Cricetulus griseus: one gene and its partner. The protein of the gene in region 1 interacts with the protein of each later gene in a pairwise test. Links are inferred from orthologs where the notes say so. Each region holds a gene or a part of one and is shown in the gene's direction. Other genes may lie near its edges.

What was found.
Region 2: the proteins of Znf410 (region 1) and Sertad1 interact in binary tests that used the Homo sapiens proteins (3 or more experiments, as listed by UniProt). The two-hybrid records come from large-scale screens. The link is inferred for Cricetulus griseus from reciprocal best matches to the Homo sapiens genes ZNF410 and SERTAD1.

The regions. Positions count from the first base shown.
Region 1 is NC_048598.1:119,438,591-119,442,237, reverse strand, and holds part of Znf410 (zinc finger protein 410), read left to right. Parts: intron 1-2,953; coding exon 2,954-3,079; intron 3,080-3,647. UniProt on the Homo sapiens protein: Transcription factor that binds to the sequence motif 5'-CATCCCATAATA-3', and is specifically required to silence expression of fetal hemoglobin in adult erythroid cells.
Region 2 is NC_048602.1:8,436,386-8,440,132, reverse strand, and holds the start of Sertad1 (SERTA domain-containing protein 1), read left to right. Parts: upstream 1-1,222; 5' UTR 1,223-1,356; intron 1,357-1,951; exon of another isoform or gene 1,952-2,046; intron 2,047-3,380; exon of another isoform or gene 3,381-3,747. UniProt on the Homo sapiens protein: Acts at E2F-responsive promoters as coregulator to integrate signals provided by PHD- and/or bromodomain-containing transcription factors. Stimulates E2F1/TFDP1 transcriptional activity.

The DNA.
Region 1 (3,647 bases):
GGACCTGCTTTATGATACATACCAGTGACTGTGCTTTATCAGAGCTGTTTTTAATGATGTTGCTCAGAATGGTTTCCTTCCAGATGATAATTAAGAAGCTAATTAAAAAAAAAAAATGGTGCCAGGTACCACAAGAGTAACAGAACTGTGCTGTTTTCTGGGACTTTGTTTTTTGCTTTTTGTTTTTTTGTTTTGTTTTTTTTTAAGTGGAGTGTGCTGGATGTCTCTACAATTTTGTTCAAATGACTGCAGAACCTGGAAAAGCTGTTGCTGCTATTGATGCATAACATACTGCTATTATTGGTCTTTTTATATAAATACAAATATATATGTATATATATATATGTACATATATATGTGTATATATATATATATATTTGTTTATTTGTGTACAACATTCTGCTTCCATGTATATCTGCACACCAGAAGAGGGCACCAGATCTTTATGTTGTGAGCCACCATGTGGTTGCTGAGAATTGAACTCAGGACCTCTGGAAGAGCAGTCTGTGCTCTTAACCACTGAGCCATCTCTCCAGCCCTATATGTTAAATTTGATATGGAACCTGTATTGACATTTTCATTCCTTTGGAGGATTTGAAAATCCAGAGCAAAATGGGAAGACTGATGTCAGTGGTAGCAAGAGCTGTGATATTCCTGTCTTCTGAGAAGGCACTGGTGGTCCTGCTTCAGTCACCGTTCCAACAGAAACTGCCTTTGCCTACTGGGGCTTCATGGCAGCCAGCAGTGTAGAAGAAAAGACCTAGTGATCTGCTTTTTGCTTTGTATTATTAAATTCCATGCAATTGTGTTGACTTGCTCATTCTATGCAGATGACAATCTCCCCTGACAAAAATGTCTTTCAAACTTTCTGAAAATATTCTTTAGCAGCCAGACTTTGTAGGCTAAATAGAAAAATCTAAATTGATACTTATTTCTCTTCCCTCCTTTCCCACTCCCCCAAACAGAACGCACTGAGGAGGTGGAGGCAGAAAGACTGGTTTTGATGAAGACCATAAAGCACTTCAGTGAGAGTTCGGGATATGGAGATGACTAGTCAGTCAGGGATGGGAATTTCATAGTCTCAGTGCTGCAGATGTTTTGTTTTTCGTTTGTTGAGACAGGTCTTAGGTAGCACAGGATTATACTGACCTTCTGATCATCCTGCCTCCACCTCCCAGGTGTTGGGACTGCAAGTGTGGGCTTTGTACATGCTAGGCAAGTATTTTACCAGTTGAGCTTTGTCTCCAGCTTCTAAGCAGTTTTTATATGATGACAAGTTCCAAGTAAAAATGGCAGACATCAAACAGAGGGCTGGAGAGATGTCCCAGGAGTTACGAGAGCACTACTGCTGTCCTTCCAGAGGACCAGGTTCAGTTTTCAGCACCACATCAGGTGTCTCAACCCTCCTGTAACTCCAGTTCCAGGAGATGTTTGTTTTGTTTTGTTTTCCTTTTGAGACACTCTCTATATTGACCTGGTATCAATATAAATTCCACTCTTCACTGAATCACTGAACCACTCAGGTTCTGGGATTAAAGGCATGTACCATCACATTCAGCTGTTTGTGGCTTTTTTAAAATAAGGCTTTTGGAAAGCCTGGTAGTATATTGCATAGCACCCAGAGGCTGATAGAAAAGGAGTGCCATGAATTTGAAGCTAGCTTGGGCTGTATAGTGAGTTCCAGATTAGCTGGGCCTACAGAGTGAGATGTCTGTAATATATACCTAAAAGAAAATAAAAGAATAGAAATGGAGGTTTCAGCTGTAGTTCAGAGTGGCCTAGAACTTGCCCATGTTGGCTTTCAACATTTTTTTTTTTAACTCTCCTGCCTTTAGTCTCCTAAGGATTATAGGCACATAACTTTAATCTGTGAGACACTTACTTGGGTTTGTCTAATTGTTAGCCATTTAAAATTGTGCTGCAATAAATAACCTTTGTGTAGGTTATTTCCTGTTGTAACTTAAAGGCAGATTTACAGAGGTAGGACTCCTAGATGAAGGATAAAAACATCTGTATTGTGTCTGGGTAATGTCAGATTACCAACCATGGATGTCATTTTTTTTTTTGCATTCTCATCAGCAATGAAAATTGCTACCTAGCCAGGCATTGGTGGCACATGCCTTTAATCCCAGCACTCAGGAGGCAGAGGCAGGTGGGCCTCTGTGAGTTCGAGGCCAGCCTGGTCTACAGAGTGAATTCTAGGATAACCTCCAAAACAATACAAAGAAACCCTGTCTTGAGGAGAAAAAAAAAAAAAAGATGAAGAAGAAAGAAAATTGCTACCTTAATGTTTTTACCAGTAAATTGGTTCCCAGTATTTGCAAGTTGGAAGATTTTATTTAAATCCTCCTTCTTACAAGAAAAAAAAAATCTGGCAGAACAAGGCTTCTGTCTACACATGGCAACACTGGTCAGAAGTGAATAGCAGCTGCCCTTGTACTGGGGAAGCATTCCCTATTTTACTCCTTTATCCACCTGCCTGGCCCCTGGGAACATGAGTGTCCATGGAAATCAGCTTTTGAGCTTTGTTCTGAGGCTGGTTGTCATGGTAGGTGAATGAAGACTGTTGGAGACTTATAAAACAGACATTGTAGTTCAGGTCATTTATGTTAAAAGAGTTGTTGGCAAATGTGCAATTTTAGGAACCCAAGGTTGTAATGAACCTTGAGGTAGATATGAATTCTGATGTTTGGGGGAAGACTATTGAAAAAGTAAATAATTATGTTGTGCAGGTGCCATGGTGCCACACCGAGGAGGCTGTTTGGAAGGCTAGCAGGACTTTGGTCCAGAAGTAGGACTGGAGCCAAAGTGTGTGCTAAGCCCTCCTGGGGTGGCTGTCCTGCCTTCCCTGTGTACAGAGGTTGTGTGCCAAAGAGGAGCCCTAAGTCTTCTGTCTACTTGATGGCCATCAGAAATTTTGGGCTGTCCTATCTTAACATAGTTCTTTTTGCAGGAGAGAAACCTCATCAGTGCCAAGTCTGTGGCAAGACCTTTTCTCAGAGTGGGAGCAGAAATGTTCACATGAGAAAGCATCACTTGCAGCTGGGAGCATCTGGGAGTCAAGAACAGGAACAACCTGGTGAGGAGAATGGTCAGAGTGGAGAACTGTGTTAAACAGCCAAGTCATTGGACTGCTTGGCTATTTGGAGATATAGTTAGGTTTAGGGTAGAGAGACTTGGTTTCATTTGATGAATTCATAGTTTGTAACAGCTGTATAGTATAATCATCTGCAAACTTTCAAAACATATATTTCCTTATTGTTTGTGTTCCTCCCCTCACAATAAAGGAACTTGATAAATGAGATGAGTTGTAAATCCCAGAGCACATACTATTATAAGTTCCACTAAGGGGTTTGCAAGCAGCTCAGCAGTAGAGTGCTTGCTTAGCACATGTAAGACCCTGGGTTTAAACACCACAGAAAAAGGTGTGTGAACATGTGTGTACACATGCACAAAACAAATAATGCCTGTACATCCACTTGGAAGGCTGAGGAGGGAGCACAATCTGGGCAACATAGTTAAGATCACTGTCTTAGGTGGTCTTTAATCCCAGCAAATGAGAGGTAGAGGTAGAAGATCAACAGGCCAGCCTAACTATGTAGTAAGTTTGAGGCCAGCCTGCACTACTTGAGACCCTGTCTCAGAAA
Region 2 (3,747 bases), on another chromosome or scaffold:
GAGGGTGTCAGATCCCCTGCAGCTGGAGGAACAGACAGTTGTGAGCTGGATGCTGGAAATTGAACCCAGTCTCCAGGAAGAGCAGCCAGTGCTCTTAACCTCTGAGCCGTCTCTCCAGCCCTGAGCAAGTGCTTTTAACCAATAAGCACCTAAACATTCTACTCTACTCTTAGTAAATCATCAGGCTTTTTTTTTTTTTTTCTTCAGTGCTGTAATCAAACACAGGTGTTTAACATGACGGAATGCTAGGCAAGCACTCTTTCGCTGAACTGCATCTCCCCTGGCATCTTTAAGACTAGTTAAAGGCCAGCTGTGGAGCTTAGGGCTTTAATCCCAGCACTCTGAGGCAGAGGCAAGTGAATCTCTGTGAGCTCGAGGCCAGCCTGGTGTACAGAGGGAGTTCCAGGACAGCCAGGGCTACTCAGAGAAACCCTGTCTCAAAAAAATAAAATAAAAAAAAAAATCCCCTAATTCCAGTTACTTGAGGGGCTGAGGAAAGATGATTGCTTTGTATTCCAGGCTAAGTTGAGCAACTTGGTGAAACTGTCTCAGAAAAATACAAAACAAACAAACAAAAAATTTCGCCCTTTCTTCTTTTGAGACAGGATCTCACTCTGAAGCCCAGGCTGGCCTGGAACTCAGTCTGGCTTCAAACTCCCAGCAATGCCCCTGCTTCAGTCTTCCCACGCTGGGATTATGGTTTGTGAACAACCACACTCCGAAAGGAAACAGATTTTGAGGGCTTTAGCCTGTTGTCCAAAGTCACGCCGCTACTCCGGAGGCACTGATGTCCAGGATGTGACCCTCATGCCATTATTCCATGTCCACCTTACTCCCGTCTTTAATTAGAGCGGAGCCCGGCTGGAGACAACACTCTTAACACGGTAGCTCTCAAGAGGAAGGTCGATTTAATAAACCGCGTCCCTCTCCCAGAACTCATCCCTCTCTCCAAGCTCACAAAGTGATCCGCCTGAGCCTTAAAAAACCTCCGAAGCCCCTACCTGTCACCCCGCCCAGTAAGGAGAAATCGCTACTAGTTTCAGGGCTCCGGGAGAGCTCCCGGGCATGCGCTTTAAGGACCGCCTCCCCTCCCTTGGGGACGGCCCCCCCGCAGGCTCCGCCCACCCCCACCAATGAGAGCCGAGCCCTGGGCGGGAGGGCGGGGCCGCCACGCGAGTGGGCGGGAACTAAGGATTGTGGAGTGGCCGGAGTCGTGCGCCGGAGTCAGAGCAGCGTCTCCCGTCCCGGGCGCCGGCGGTTGCGGGAGCCGGGCGAGCCGAGCGATGCGCCTGCTGCCGCTTCCTGATTGGCTGCGTGTGGCTCCCTCTTCGTTCTGATTGGCCGCGAGTGATCTGGGTATGTAAATGAGGGGGCCCGGTGGTGGTGGGGGGGTGGGAGGAGAGAGGCGGGGGAGGGTGGGAGTACCGACGGCCCGAGGTGTTTTTAGCGTGTTCGATCCCCCGGTTGGGGAGATGTTCGCCGGGGTTGTCCGGGATCCGGGCGGGCGCCCGGGGCCTGAACGTGACGCCCGTCCGGGCCGGACTGAGTGAATCACGCCGGAGCCGGAGAAGGGGGCGGAGGCGCAGGCTCCCTGGCTCCGGCTGCGTGACTCACCCGCCCCGCCGCCGCCGCGCCGCCGCTGCCGCCGCTGCTGCGCTGCCGCCTTCCGGAAGCCAGGGAAGGCTCTGGGCGGCCCGCGGGGGTCGCGGCTCGCCGGGGCCCCGGGTCTGAGGGGCCGGAGTCCCCGGGGAAGCCCTGGCCGGGCTGCCGCTAGGGGGCGCCTGCGCCCGGGGGCGGAGTCGAGGCGGGGGCTGAATTCCTGCGGTTGCCTGCCGAGGGTCTGCGCGCAAAGGGCGAGCGGGAAGGGCGAGCCAAGACTCCGGGGTCTTGTTGGGGCTGTCTAGGCAGCGTCCCCAGGGCTGAGCCTCCCCCCCTTCCCCCCCGATCCTTTGTGTCCCCCCCCCCGCCCCCCGAGATGCCACTCCGGGGTCCCAGACTCCGGTCTCCTCGCCGCATGGAAGGAAGTGTGGATTTCTCCAAACTTGGGTACTCAGTGGCCGAGCCCCGCGGCCCCCCGGCTCTCCCCGCTAACTCCAGGGGCCGCCGCTTCCTTGTGCTTAGCAGCTCGGGCTCCCCCAAACTCCAGCCGTCAGTGCCCCGGCCGCCCCCACCCCGCTCACCCTCTCTCTCCCCGATGCTGCCCCACCGGCAGCCCGCCCGCCCGCCCCCGGCGTCAGCGAAACGTCGCCTTCGGCCCCCTGCTCGACCCTCCTGCCTCCCCGGAGGACTCTGTCCTGTCACTCTGAAAATCCAAGCCGCCTCCCCCCCCCCCGCCTGCTCCCCACCCCCACCGGGACTCCTACCGTGTCACTCTGTGCGCTTGCTCCTTGTGTGGGTTTTCTTTTTTCTTTTTTCTTTTTTTTCCCTTCCCCGGTTAAGATTTGCCTCTCTCGGTCTTCCATTGGCTCTTCCGGGAATGCCCGGCCCCTGGTTCTCCATAGCTGTCGTCTACACTGCCTACATCAGATCCGAAGTATCTCCTTTACAGAAACTGCCCAAAGTACCTCCTATCGCTATCTGTGCATTCCCTCTATTGGATTAAATAATGTTTGATGCCAAGCAGACATTCTATGCCTTGAACTGTACAAGTAGGCTGCATTTCCAGCCAAGAGGCGGCACCTACCTGTAATCCTAACCCTTGGGAGGCTGGGGCAGAAGGACTGCCTGGGATAGCCAGCCAGCCTGGACTAACTACAGTGTGAGGCCCTGTCACAAAACCTGGAGCAAAACCATCCAGGCACTGCCACACATCTTTAATCCCAGCACTCAGGAGGCAGAGGCAGGCAGATCTCTAGAGTTTTGAGGCCAGCCTGATCTATAGAGTGAGTTCCAGGACCGGCTCCAAAGCTACAGAGAAGCCCTGTCTCGAAAAACCAAAATAAATAAATAAATAAATAATAAAAAAGAGCAAAACCAAAAAGTACTTACAAATAAATACTAGTTATGGTTGTTAAGAGCTTGCTATTGCTAGTTCCAGGACAGCCTCCAAAGCCACAGAGAAACCCTGTCTCAAAACTGCACCCCACCCCCCCAAAAAAAGAGCTTGCTATTGCTACAGAGGACGCAAGAGATTCCCAGCACCCAAATGGAATGGCTTATAATTGCTGTAACTCCAGCTCCAGGGACTCCAACAGGTGGCTTCCTTGGGCATCTACACTCTCGTGCATATACACACACACACACCACAAAATTTAAAATAAAAGTAAAATTAGCCAGGCATTTGTAGCTCATGCCTTTAATCCCAGCACTCGGGAGGCAGAGGCAGGCGGATCTCTGAGTTCAAGGCCAGCCTGGTCTACAGAGTGAGTTCCAGGACAGGCTCCAAAGCAATACAGAGAAACCTTGTCTTGAAAAACCAGAAAATAAAAATAAAATAAAAGTAAAATTTGAAAGTTCTAAAGACCATGATGCAAGGGCTTTTTATTCTTTTGTTAATCTAATCCATATAGCAACTTACAATGTAGATGTTAGCTGTTTCTTAGAACTTTACTGAGCAGGCTCAGTTGGTGGAATGTTTGCTTTACATGCAGGAAGCCCTGAGTTCCATCCCCAGCATCCAGTATACCAAGCGTGGTGGCATACACCTGTAGTCCCAGCACGGGGGCTGTGGGTAAGAGATGATCATAAACTCGAGGCCAGCCTGAGTTGTGTGATCCTGTCTCATTAAAAATGAGGAAGAATTTGCTT